Linked DNA regions of Coturnix japonica. The protein of the gene in region 1 binds, or shares a complex with, the protein of each later gene. Links are inferred from orthologs where the notes say so. Each region holds a gene or a part of one and is shown on either strand. Other genes may lie near its edges. The genes, in order: GABBR2, guanine nucleotide-binding protein G(i) subunit alpha-1 and KCTD16.

Region 1 (4,388 bases):
GGCCAGTAAAGCAGGGTTCACTGAACTGCATCAAGGTCGTGCTCCAGACACATTCAACCATCAACAGTACTCAAGTCAGAAGCCTCCATGTTGGCATATACTTGCTGTAACCTGTGGTCTTATTTTGCACTGAAGATATCATTCACAGAATCATAGCTGCTTGAGATAACGGATTAAGGACTGTAGTGAACTCTGAGCTTCCTTCAGCTTAACTGTGTTGATAAGCGCAAGGAATGCCACTCCAGTGCTCCAGGGTTAGAGACAGAGAGCAGCCTAAGTTGGGAAGCCCACTGCAGTTCTGATGGTGGTCAGAAATACGGGCATCCCTGTGCTCCACTGTACAGAAACATCAAGCAAACAATATGCAGTTCAACTTTACCAGGAAGCTGCCTCGGTAATGAAAAGAGATCCGATTTGTTTGTCTTCATAATACTTTCATGATTATTTTTTGTGAGCTTTTTATTGAAGTGTTACGTAAAGCTGCAACACAAACATCGGTTCATAGCAGAGGGTGATTATGGAACTCCATGAGGGAGTTTCTGAATCACTGCCATGCATTGCCTAAATCACTGCCATGCATTTCCTAAATCACTGACGTGCATTTCACCAGGCTCTATATCTACACAACAAACACCTCTCCCTCTGTTCAAAAACCCCTGGTGCTCAGGGTCCCACATTCTCTCTCCAAGAGGAGCCAATGTCAAAGCACCCGCGAGGTCCTGAAGGGAAGCAGGTCTGTGGTTACGTAAGGACAAGGATCCAGGCCCTCTGGGTGCATCCATCTATCAGCAGTCTGGGAACAGGCTGAGCACCGAGCGGGCAGCAGGAGGGAGCAGCCCTTCTGCTTACCGTAAGACATAAGGTAATGGCTGAGCACAACGAAAAAGTTTGTGCTGCCATTACGTATTTATAGGCTGTTCCAACCATTAGGCTGTTCCATTACGGTGCAGTCAATCTAACACTCCTCACAAACACTCGTTTATTTACTTGTCACTATTAAGCGTGCAATAATGACCCGACCGCTCTCCAAATACATACATTTGCCTGATTTAGCATTCCATAACCATCCATTTATTAATTGCTTAAAAGCCTCCGGATGCACACAGCACACGGGCAGCAGGATCCTGATGCTTCAAACCCCCCCTGAAGTACCGAACAGTAAAAATGCAATTTTTAAGGAACCGGTGCACATTCCACAGCCAATCAGACAATTCTTCTGGTTGCTCTGTTCATCTTAACGCTGACTACCCTGCTCAGAACCCAAAATCTCTATGAACAACTGCAAAATATTTTGATTGCAATCAGGTGCAGCCCCTCATTGATTGGGATGTGTGCATAGAAGGAAGGTTCCTGCTTCTCCACTTCCTGTGTACTCATTATTTCGCAACGATCCCATCCGAGGGGTGGATTTAAACAGAATAATGTAATGAACACAGGACTGGGAGAACCGTGATCTTGTTTCTCCCCAATACCACGTTTTATGAAACAGGTAATGCCATTCCGAAAATCCCCCATAATTCTTTTCATTCTGATTGCAGAGGTTCGTTTTTTAAGGAGACGAACGGCAGCTCGGGGCCGCTCCTGGCGCAGCATTCCGGCCTTGTGCACCCAACAGCACCCAAACGACACACTCAGCGCTACCACCCCAAGCCGTCCGAAACAACGCCACGACAAATGCGTGTCGGTGAAGGGCAGCTGCCCCACAGAGAGAGATTTCTGGGGCGACCCTATGGACGGAGAGCCAGCACAGCCCGGTATCGCCGCTCTGCAACCGGAGAGGGGCTCCCGCAGCACAACGGGGGCTCTCAGCATCCATCCCCGCGCCGCACCGGGGGCTGTCGTGGAAAGGAACGCGGCTCGATTCACGCGGGGCGGCTGCCACCTTGAGGGCAGGCTCCGCATCGAGCCGGCATCTCCCTCCGTTCGGCGAAGTTGCGACCCAAACGGAGCGCGTTGGAGAGCCGGGTACCAAGTTCCCCACGCCTCCGCCTCCCGCCCGCATTCCTTCCGCACCCCGAACCGCACCGGGCCGCACCGGGACAGGGCGGCCCTCAAGCATCCCGCGGGCAGAGGCACCGCAGATTTAACTCTTTCCGCAGGTCTCCACCGCCTCGCTGCGAGCCGCCCTCCGGAGCCCGCGTCCTGCACGAGGAAGGGGAGGCATCCGGATGGAGACGGAGCGGCCGGCGCGCATCTGTTGCTAGAAGCTGAGAGCGGCCGGTTCTGGTCGGGGCCCCGCGGGCAGAACATCTCCGGAACGGCTCCGCGTCCTCAGCCGCTTCTCCCCGCGCATCTACCGGCGGCGCCGCAGCCCCCGCGTCCGCGCTGCCCTTGCGCCCCGGTCCCGCAGCGCCCCGGGACTGGGCGGCGGCGCGTCCCCGGCGGCCCCTACCTCCGTGTCGTAGAGGCGCAGGTCCAGGAAATAGGGGTTGAGCAGGGACTCGTTGCGGATCTGATCCATGGCCAGCTGCACGGCGGGCAGCACCCCCCGACCGATCCTGCTCTTCTGGTCCTCCTCGGACTGGCTGAGCGGCATCAAACCCATGATGGAGATCGGCGTGGTGGCGTTGGGGGGCATCCCGGCCGCCCCCCGGGTGCTGCCCCGCGACCAGCCCCAGCCCGGCGGCACCCAGCCTAGGCACAGGAGCAGCAGCAGCATGGCAGGGCTGGAGGTGGCGGCGGCCGGGCTCCGCACAGAGGGATGCATGCTGCTGGATGGGGGGAGGAGGAGGAGGAGGAGGAGGAGAGCTGGGGAGGGGGGGCGGACGGAGCGGCGGGAGGGAGCCGAGCCCCGCTCAGCCCGGGCACATCCCCCGGCGGCGGGAGGGAAAGCAACGCCTCCCGCTTCCAAGGGAGCCTCGGGGTCTCCTCTCTCTCCCCCCTCCGCCCCCCCTCCCTTTTCTCTCCTCTCCCCTGGCAATAATCCTTCTGGCAATGGCGCCTACTCCTTCCCAGGTCTGCCAGCTGCAGCCACCAGAAGCGATAAATAAATAAATAACCCCCCCACCCCCCCCCTCCCCTCCGCTTTCCCTGCACCCTCCTCCTCTTCCTCCTCTTCTCCTCCCCTCCTCTCCCGGCGGCGGAGCAGGGAGCGGGACCTGCCTCTGCCTCCCCGCTGCGCTCCGCTCGGGGAGGAACGGCACCTCTCGGGCGGGGACGGGGGGGCGGGAGGGAGAGAAGGGGGGAGCGAGAAGAAGCCCTCACTGAACACCTCCTTCTTCCTCCAAAAGGAAAACACACATATATATATAGGATGCTCCGGTAGAATGAAAAAAAAAAAGAAAGAAGGAGGGGGGTTGGTGTGTGGGGGGGGAACGGTGCGGGCCGGGGGTGCAGAGCCCTAATGCCGCATTCTCATAGCCGGGGCAACCCCGCGAGAAGGGAGGTGCCGCCCTTCGGCTCCGATGCGGGAAGGGCCGGGGGACGGTGCAAGGCACGCGGCGAGCGCGTACCCCCCCGCCCCCGCTCCAGCTCAGCACGCAGACACGCGCCCACGCCGGCTCGGCACCTCCGCCACCGCACACGCACACGCACAAATGCACACACACACACACACACACACGGAGCCTGGGCCATGGCAACTCCGCAGCGCGCTCACAGGAGCGCGGCGTTCTGCAAAACCAGGTTATTTCTGGGTTATCCTTTGCTCTCCCCGCAGGATTCCCGCAGCCCGGCAGCGCATAGTGGCAGCGCCGTGCCCTGATCCCAGTACGGCCCCCCTGCACAGCGAGGAGCCCCGTAGAGCCGGGAGAGACCCGGTGTGCGTCCCGCTGGCAGCCCTGCCAAACCCGACCCGGGGCATCTCCCATTCTATAGATACAAAACCGGGATGAGGGGCGGATGAAGAAACTGGGATTGTTTAGTAGGAGAACAGCAGGCTCAGGGGACACCTCACTGCTCTCTACAACGGCCTGAAAGGAGGCCTCTTCTCGCAGGTAACAGCAATAGGATGAGAGGGAACAGCCTCAGATTGTACCAGGGGTCAATTCAGGTTGAATATTAGGGAAAAAATTTCTTCTCTCTTCTACACCCCAGGGAAGTGGTGGAGTTACTGTCCCTGGAGGTATACAGGAACCCTGTGGATGTAGCACTGAAGGACGTGGTCAGCGGGCATGGGTTGGTGGTTGGACTGGATGATCTTAGTGGTCTTTTTCAACCTTTATGATTCTATGAAGGCCAACCTAATATATCCCATATACAATGGTGGCGTCTATGCCATAAATCGGGAAGAATCTTTATAGTTTAATAAATTCTAAGATCATAATAAGGTGACCTTGGGCCAAAAGCCCTTAACCTGTCACCCCGTAACTCTTCTTTCTTTGCAGCCCTTCCTGTGGAATGACATCCAACAGAGCTGACCTAAAGACATCAGTTTAGAAGGGGTCATC
Region 2 (4,286 bases), on another chromosome or scaffold:
ACTCCTAAATCAGGAAACTATCCCAAAACTGTTTAGTAGCCTCACCACCTTCTGAGTAAGTAATTTCTTCCTAACATCTAGCCTAAATGTCTGTCTTTTAATTTAAAGCCATTCCCTCTTGTTCTATTACAATCAAACTGAGTAAAAAAAGATAATAATTTTGCCCCTGCTGATAAGCTCCCATCCAGTACTGGAATACAGCAGTTAGGTCTCCCCAAAGCCTTGACTTTTCTAGTCTGAACAAGCCCTGCTCCCTCAACTGTTCTTCACAGAAGATCTTGTGGCCCTACTTTTCAAGCCAGTCTTGGTTTCTCTGTATGGCATCTTTTCTGCCATAAAACATCACCTGTGCTGTCAAATGCTCTACTTTTAGAGCCCATTCCGTGAGAAAAATAAGTAACCTTAAAGGCTCACTACAGAAGACAAACCTGAATGTAACATGCTTGTCTTGTGCTTGCATGTGACGTTCTGACTGAAACTTATCCTTCAACTCAGAAAGTTTTGTCTCATACAGGTTCTGTGGTACTGTACTGGGTTTACATGGTGACAAGAAGGAGTCGCAGGGGTCACCCCTGAGCACAAAGCCGAGCACCCTCCCGACATCACATCATATCACACCAGCTGCTCCCAAGGCCTCTGCCGCGGTACGAAGGAGGGGAGGTCGGATGATGGCTGTCAGCAGTGAGGCAGCAGGAGGCGACAAATAGCAGGTGGAGATATTAGCAGCCATAGGCTACCAGATGATCAGGGGGCTGGAGCACCTCCCCTATGAGGACAGGCTGAGGGAGTTGGGTTTGTTCAGCCTGGAGAAGAGAAGGTTGCGGGGTGACCTCATTGCAGCCTTTCAATACCTGACGGGAACTTACTCCCAGGAGGGGAGTAAACGCTTTGAAAGGGCTGACAATAGCAGGACACGGGGAAATGGTTTTAAGTTAAAAGAGGGAAGATTTAGGTTGGATGTTAGGGGGAAGTTCTTCACTAGGAGAGTGGTTAAGCCCTGGAACAGGCTGCCCATGGAGGTTGTGGATGCCCCGTCATTGGAGGTGTTCAAGACCAGGTTGGACGGGGCCCTGGGCAACCTGATCTAGTAAAGGTGTATGTTTGGTGGCCCTGCCAGGCAGGGGGGTTGGAACTACATGATCCTTGAGGTCCCTTCCAACCGGGGTCATTCTGTGATTCTGTGAGACTATGCCTAAGAAAGTCGGTCACCCTACCACAGGCGGCTCTCAGTCTCCGGAACAAACCCTATAGGCATTAGCACAGCCTTCACTGGGCGTTCCCTCCTCAACGCAATGGAACCTCCCGCTAAGAGCTATTTAAATTCAAGCCCTCAGCACCATCCCCGCCCTTACCCCCCGCCCGCCGCCAGGTGTGCGGAGCTGGGCGCTGACGTCACACACACGCACGGCAGCCTGAGGTTCGCTCCGGCCGCTCGATGCTGCGCGCAGGCGCACTGCCGCCCGCCCCGCCCTCCCTCGCGTGCACGCGCACGCCCCCTTTCTCTCCCTCCCGCGGCGTTGTGGGCTGTGCGCGCCGCCGCGAGCAGCGGAGAGACGGGGGTGGTGTACAGCAGAGTCGAGGAAGGGGCAGCGCATCCCCGGGGACGGATCGAGGGAAACATCCCCCTGTTTCGTTGTGGTGTTTTTTTGTACAAATTTGTGGGTTTTTTGTTTTGGTTTGTTTTTTTTTTCTTCTTTTTGCTCCGCTCTTCCCTTTACTTGCGCTTCAGGTGGGGAAGGAGGGAGAAAGAAAGCGGGCGGGCTCTGCTCCCCCCCCTCCTTTTTTACGCCTCTCCGGAGCTCTCCGCTCCCCGCTTCTCCCCGCGGCGAGGTACGCAGCCCCTGCCGAGATGGGCTGCACGCTGAGCGCCGAGGACAAGGCGGCGGTGGAGAGGAGCAAGATGATCGACAGGAACCTGCGAGAGGACGGCGAGAAAGCGGCCAGGGAGGTGAAGCTGCTCCTGCTGGGTAAGGGTGGGCCCCCCCCGGTCTGGCCGAGATGCGGAGCTGTGAGGGCCGAACCGGGGGCGGGGGACCGCGGAGGTCCCCCAGCATCGCTCCCCCGGGACCGGCGGGTGGTGGGGTGGGAAGGCCGCTCGTAGATCCTCGGAATCCGCTCGTGGATCCTTGGGGGAGGAGGGAGGGGGAGCGCAGGTGGGCGCGGCGGGGCTGCGGGCCGGGCCGGGGAGCGGTTCCGAGCTGTTGGGGCTTTGTTTAGATAAGGCCCCGGCTCCCCAAGGGGAGGGAGAGAGATCTTGTACTTTTGATGTGGGTTCTGGGTACTTCGGTTCCGAGGAAGGGCTTAAGGGGATTTCAGGTTGGGGGATGTTTGTTTCGTGTGGAACATCCCCTTCTGAACTGTTGCTGTAAGAGTGAAGTGGGAAAAACATCAAAGCAACGCGAGGCGCCGTCTGACTTCTCGCTTCGTTTTCTTTTGGAAGTTGTTTCTGCTGCCGAACTTTTACAACATAAGGTCAAACCTTGGTGGGGTTATAAAGTGTGTAATACTGGGGATCACTGGAATAGGGTGATGAGGAGCTGCACGGAGAAGCAATGGATTCCCAACCTCAGGATGTGCTCGGGGTGGGATTGGATGGGGCCCTGGGTCCTGATCTGATGAGCATCAGTCCTGCACAAGGCAGGGCATTGGCACTGGATGGCCTTCAAAGTCCCTTCTAACCCAAGCCATTCTGTGGTTCCGTGCTACCAAGTCTTCTTGATTTTACTCCCAAGTTCTTAAAACTGGCAGCTTTGTTCATTTTAAGTGATGTTTGTCTATAAAGATAAATGAAGTAAAATTACTGCTAAAAATTACTATGAAAGAGGAAGAAATCTCTAATTAGTAATGTCTTTGTGCAGCTCTAACTCTACTGTACGTGCTGTGGACAGCTGAATCCTGCAAGGCATATGATGTATTGATGTTACGGGGAGTTTTGTGTTATGCTTTATAGCTGAACTGCTCTGGATCCTTTTAACCCATAATTAAAAAATAATTAAAAATAAATAAATAAACATGGAGTTTCAGTTTTCCTTGTGCTGCTCATCCAGAAGCTACAGTTCCAAGGAAGGTTTCTGTTTATAAAGTAGTACCCAATTTTTTCTTCTCCATATATTTGTTTTCATGGAGTGCTTCCTTAAGCATTCTATTTAGTGCAAATCTTGCTGTAGTAGAACTCTTAATTAATTAACTTCTATCTGTTCCTTGTAAAGCTTGTAGCTTGTAAAATAGCTCCAGACAGGTCCAGGGAACTGAAGCACTTCCTTCTGTGTGTCTGTGAAGAAACGAAACAAGCCTAGTATAGGTAAAGCAAACTTCTGAAAACGTGTGTATAGGCTTAAAGTTCTGCATATGAGGGGAAAAAAAGCTTTTCGGTTTGCTTTCTAGAAAGTGTTAGGCTGTTGGTGTGCTTAGTCCTGTACAAATTCATAAGCCTGGAGTCTGTTGTGTGGAAAGGTTATCCTCTGATCAATAGTAATGCACTGCAGAAAATGTCCTTTTTCAAGAGTCACAGAGTACTGCTCTGTGTGTACTCTGACAAGTCATTAGAAATGGTTTTTCAGAGTTCTGCTGTTCTCTACTGAGCTTTAAATACTACATAGGTAGTAGTTATGCTTTTCCGTGAGTATGGATAAAGTCTTCTATAAAAGTTGCGTTAAACTTGAGAATGAGCTGTTTACAGTAGCTTAATATTCTTGGATACAAATTCATATGATAGTAGCTTTTTATATAAATTCTATCTGATATAGATCAGCTTTTGGGGGAATTGTTTTCTGCTGCAGTCTCCTGAAATCTTAGGATATGAAACTAATCACAGAATCACAGAATGACCCAGGTTGGAAGGGACCTCAAGGATCATGTAGTTCCAACCCCCCTGCCTGGCAGGGCCACCAAACATACACCTTTACTAGATCAGGTTGCCCAGGGCCCCGTCCAACCTGGTCTTGAACAGCTCCAAGGACGGGGCATCCACAACCTCCCTGGGCAGCCTGTTCCAGGGCCTAACCGCTCTCCTAGTGAAGAACTTCCCCCTAACATCCAACCTAATCCAAACTAATGCTCAAATACATGTGTTTTCTCACAACTCAACTCAGTGTAGCGTTTTCCATTCAACTGTTAAAAAGTGAAAATGAACAGATCAGGAACTTTCAGGGCCAGAGCTGAGAGTAAGGCTTTGTGTATACATCTATGGATACATTTATACATTTCAGATCCTAATGGAAGCTTTTCTGTTCAATTTCCTGTGTTAGCTGTCCTAAATGTTGTGTGAATGCTTTATCTGATGGCAA
Region 3 (4,145 bases), on another chromosome or scaffold:
GTCAGGCTTGTTGACAGATGGTTGACTATTATCAAGCAGATATTACCTTTGTAAATTGAATTCAATGTGAAGGTTTTCTGTAATTAAATCTGCAGTGTGTTTGCATGGCTTACATTGCATCCTACTTGCACTCAGGAAGTGTGCAGGCCATCAGATTTGCACAGGCAGAGATACAGCATCCTTCAGGCACAGGGATAGGGTGCTTTTGGCAGTCTGTGCTGCCACCTAGCCAAGACCAAGCCACTGAGTTCAGTCTGGCCTTACAGTTCGGAAGCTTAAACTGAAGCCTATCACCTCATCAAAATAAAGCTCCGATCTGCAGCAGATACAAAGAAATCTGCACTTCTCATGCTTTGCTAACTGTGCACAGTCAGAAGAGACAGGCTTCAAACAGGCAGCTGTGTTTCCCTCAGAAATGTCTTGTACTTACGGTAGAAGACATATTCAGTGTAGCTGGACCAGACCTTGTCATCAGTGTACTGATTGACAAAGGATGCCGTCACAGAGGAGTTGCAGGCCACCATGTGGAATCCACACTCAGATAACATGTCAAAAGCCCTCTCCAGATGCTTGAACTTGAGATAAAACCTGGAGGTGTACCTTTCTGGAGCTCTGTCTGGATCTCTGCTTTCATTCAAACTTTCTCCAAAGACCTCTTTGACCAAAGCGATCCTTCCACAAACCAAAATCCTTGGGACCCTCCTGAATTTGGCATCTGCTTGGCTCTCCCTGCCAATAGTGCATGAACCCCGGTACCCAATGGTAATGAATCCCCACTTTCGATCTGATGGTAAGAGAGATGGAGGGGGGCATATTCTCGTGTCGCTGCCCTGGGAGACCTCTTCGTAGTCACTGTGGCAATAATCATCGGGGCTTTGCTTGCTGTCATCAGGAGTCAGGATTTTGACCAAGTCCGGGAGCTGGAAATACTCAGCCTCCCTCTTGAGCCTTCCCTTTTCAGGGAAGTGGTCAGGCAGAACAACTTGCTTGTCCCTGAGATAGTCCAGAATATAGCGAAAAAGGAAACCATCTCTGTCAATGAAGAATCTTCCCTTGGAGTCCTTGGCCAGATCGTTGGCTGTGTCTCTTTTTGGGGTGAACATTTTCCACAGCAAGGAGTGAGGGGTGCCAACCAAGGTGGAGTGGCGAGTGAAGTAAACCTGGCCACCCACGTTTAGCTCCACAACCTCTGGGAAGGATTGCAGCCCAGACCCCTGCTCTCGGGCAGGGAGGTAAGTCCTGCAGTTGCCACTTAGAGCCATTGTACTTTAAAAAAGAAAACAGTAGCACGAAGGATAGTCAGTCACATCAAAGTCTAGAATAAGGCTCCAGTATTAAGGTGAAACGGGGGAAAGGGGAAGCAAGGAAAGAAAAAAAATCCAAAAGGTATGTCTAAAAAAATATCTGAATTGTCCATAAGTAGCAATGTGATAGAAGTGTCTTATATCCTAAGCCACTGGGGCTGGAGAAAAATCCCTTCGTGAAACACAATCACATCATTAGATCTTCCAACAAAGCCATCAAAATCAAGGTCAAGCCCAGCCTATGGTAATTCACTGGTCTTCTAAAAGGGAAAACAAAATAAGATTCAAATTAACCTCTTAAGCATGCCAGCAATTGCAATAGAGAAAAACAACTCATTCTAGAAAGCTGTTAGCCTTCCTGCTAAATATATCTAATTTTCCCAAGTTCTCCCCTTCTTTTTCAGAAACACTAATCAATGAAAGGACTCAGTGTGACCCTGCAGTTTATAGAATACAACGTAATTTATCTTCAAACAAACATCTAATTTAAACATGCAGAAGAGGCAATGAGAACATCAACTCTTACCTTGGTTACAAATAATGCATAGCTCTTGGAAAGGAAAGCAAAATTTCAAGACACTCAGAACACACATACAGGCACATAGAGTCCAGATAGTATCAGATCCGATCCCAGCAAGGGACAGCAAAGGCAAGAAAAGTGCTCTTAACAACATTCGTGTAGATCTCGAGAGTTAAACCGAGTCATGAAAAAAGTTAACCACGGCAGGTGACCAGAAAACAAGACACACAGCACAAAGGGGGGAGGGGAAAAGCACAAAAATCCCAAATAAATCCGATCGGGTTCCTTGAGAGTGGGGCCAAGGGAGAGCGGGGGAACGCGCTGCGGGGGACGCTGCCTCAGATGACTTGCAGAAACCCCGCAGCCCGCGCTAAGGGCTGAAAGGCTCCAGCGACTCCCGCGGCGGCAGCCGCCCGGGCAGCGCGGAACGCGGCGCTCCCATGTCCCCGCCGGGGCCGCCCGCTGTGCCGCTCCGCTCCCGCGCTCTGCCGCGCCGCCCTGCTCGGATCCGCTCCGCTCAGAGGCGCGGGGACGGGAGCGCAGAGGGCGACGCCGATTGCATCATCCGAAAGGAGTCGGGCCGGGACCGGGCCGGAACCGGAGACGGCGCCAGCAGCCGGGGCAGCGCCAGCACCGCGGACAGCGCCGGGCCGCGCTCCGCCGAGCGGGTTGGCCGCCCCGGGGCGCCGCCGCCGCAGCCCTCAGCGCCCGAGTTCGGGTAAAGTTCCTCCCGCTCCGCTCCTCTCGGCAGCTCCGGGCGGCAGCTCCCGGCCCCTGCCCGCCCGCCGACACGTGCCTGTCCGCGGCTCCGCGCAGGCGAGGCGGTGATTTCACCCAGCGACGCAGGCGGGCAGGGTGGGAGCAGCCGGTGGGTGGGCGCTCCCGGCACGCTCGCCCGTGGCTCTCCGGCAGGAGTGCGGTTTTATCGTGCCGCTCGCGCTCCTCATCTCCCCAGCAGTGACCCAGAAAGGGCAGAAGCCAGTAACGAGGCGCTGTGCATTTACCGCAGGGACGGAAAGGAGGAGGTGGGGCGCCTCGGCAGGAGCGCTGCCGCACTCACTTCGTTTGCCGGACCGTGATGGGGACGGGGGCAGGACGGGGGCAGGGGCTCCCGCCGCGCCCCGTTCTCCTCTCGGCCGTGGCCGTGCTGGCACCGCCACCTCGCGTCCAGTCCTGGCCCTGCTCCCGGTTCTTCCCAAGCGCTGTTACCAGGGCAAACGCTGCGGGAAAGGCGAGATGAAAAACGCCGGAAAAAAATGGGCTTTGGGAGCACCGAGCTGCCGCTGCGGGGCGTGGGCTGCGGCCACCAGCTGGGCACCGTGGGCTCTGCTCAGCGTGAACTGCTTTGTCTCGGGTTAAACAAATACGGCATGCAACATAAAATGAAATGAAGTGACCGGGTTGCTCAGCTAGTGCACAAAATGGGCACCGCAGCGTGTAGTCGATTTCACACATAATTGCACATGATCGTCTGAAAAGTGTCAGAAAAAGTATCAGAAAAAGTATCAGAAAAGTTCAGCGTTGTGTATTTTGGCAGACATCAGTTCTCATTAAAATGGGGATACTCGGAATGATGAATGTATGATAAAAAGCCCTTCATTCACACATCGAAGAAAACCCAGAGAGGAAGTTTTAGAGTCAAATCTTTGTGCAGGGAAGTTACTGAGCTGTTGGTCTCTGCTGGCTGCACTGAAGTTGCAGATACTTCAGGAGGAACGAAGGAAGGGAGGGACTGAGGAGGACATTAACTTAAAGAGTACAGTTCTATAGCCCGAGGGAGGAAAGCACTGATCTGTGTGCTTACAAGCTTCTCAATTTCAAGCCTGAGAGTCAAGTAGTATATCAAACCCTCGCTTTTGACCTTAATCAATTCATTAATTCAGAAGCAGCTGTGAGGCTCTTGAACCAAGGTTCTCTCTTACTGCTGGACCCGACTTCTAATTTTCAAACCAGCAGAGTATGGGACTGCTGCAGGGATGTACATTATATCTCAGAAAAAGACAGTTTTGTACATCTTCACTTGCTGTTCCCACACACCAGCTGAAGAACTTGTCAAGGGAACTGTAAAGCTTACAATGAGGATTTAAAAGGGTTGGTGTGAGGACATGTTAACTTAGATGCCTTCACCATGTATTTAAGTCTAGTAGAGTCAAAGTATACAGGCTTTAACATCTGCATGACCAGGTAGATGAAATGATGGGCTTCCTTTAGGATTTAAACTCATTAGTGCTGCCTTGGTTGAAAGTAAGGAGTATTCCATCAGCTTTTTCAAATACTTTAGTTATTAATGTTAGTTAATATGCTTTAATAATATTTAGGTC

Evidence for each region.
Region 2: the proteins of GABBR2 (region 1) and guanine nucleotide-binding protein G(i) subunit alpha-1 are in contact, whole or in part, in a cryo-EM structure (PDB 7EB2), measured with the Homo sapiens proteins. The link is inferred for Coturnix japonica from reciprocal best matches to the Homo sapiens genes GABBR2 and GNAI1. Residues at the interface, in NP_005449.5 of Homo sapiens: Lys510, Lys513, Met514, Ser516, Arg577, Ile581, Lys586, Met587, Lys588, Lys590, Ile591, Lys593; in NP_002060.4 of Homo sapiens: Arg24, Glu28, Ala31, Arg32, Asp193, Thr219, Ile343, Asn347, Leu348, Asp350, Cys351, Gly352, Leu353, Phe354.
Region 3: the proteins of GABBR2 (region 1) and KCTD16 are in contact, whole or in part, in a crystal structure (PDB 6M8R), measured with the Homo sapiens proteins. The link is inferred for Coturnix japonica from reciprocal best matches to the Homo sapiens genes GABBR2 and KCTD16. Residues at the interface, in NP_005449.5 of Homo sapiens: Ile882, Asn883, Ile888, Gln889, Arg891, Leu892, Ser893, Leu894, Gln895, Leu896, Pro897, Ile898, Leu899; in NP_001357415.1 of Homo sapiens: Asn30, Gly32, Gly33, Gln34, Val35, Tyr36, Asp64, Leu65, Ala66, Lys67, Asp68, Ser69, Arg72, Phe74, Gly79, Phe80, Arg83.

Annotation. Positions count from the first base shown.
Region 1 is NC_029517.1:43,384,095-43,388,482, forward strand, and holds the start of GABBR2 (gamma-aminobutyric acid type B receptor subunit 2), read right to left. Parts: upstream 2,965-4,388; 5' UTR 2,708-2,964; coding exon 2,393-2,707; intron 1-2,392. UniProt on the Homo sapiens protein: Component of a heterodimeric G-protein coupled receptor for GABA, formed by GABBR1 and GABBR2. Within the heterodimeric GABA receptor, only GABBR1 seems to bind agonists, while GABBR2 mediates coupling to G proteins.
Region 2 is NC_029516.1:10,240,701-10,244,986, reverse strand, and holds the start of guanine nucleotide-binding protein G(i) subunit alpha-1, read left to right. Parts: upstream 1-1,486; 5' UTR 1,487-1,849; coding exon 1,850-1,967; intron 1,968-4,286. UniProt on the Homo sapiens protein: Guanine nucleotide-binding proteins (G proteins) function as transducers downstream of G protein-coupled receptors (GPCRs) in numerous signaling cascades.
Region 3 is NC_029528.1:689,060-693,204, forward strand, and holds the start of KCTD16 (BTB/POZ domain-containing protein KCTD16), read right to left. Parts: upstream 2,917-4,145; 5' UTR 2,829-2,916; intron 2,810-2,828; exon of another isoform or gene 1,831-2,809; intron 1,565-1,830; 5' UTR 1,263-1,564; coding exon 431-1,262; intron 1-430. UniProt on the Homo sapiens protein: Auxiliary subunit of GABA-B receptors that determine the pharmacology and kinetics of the receptor response. Increases agonist potency and markedly alter the G-protein signaling of the receptors by accelerating onset and promoting desensitization.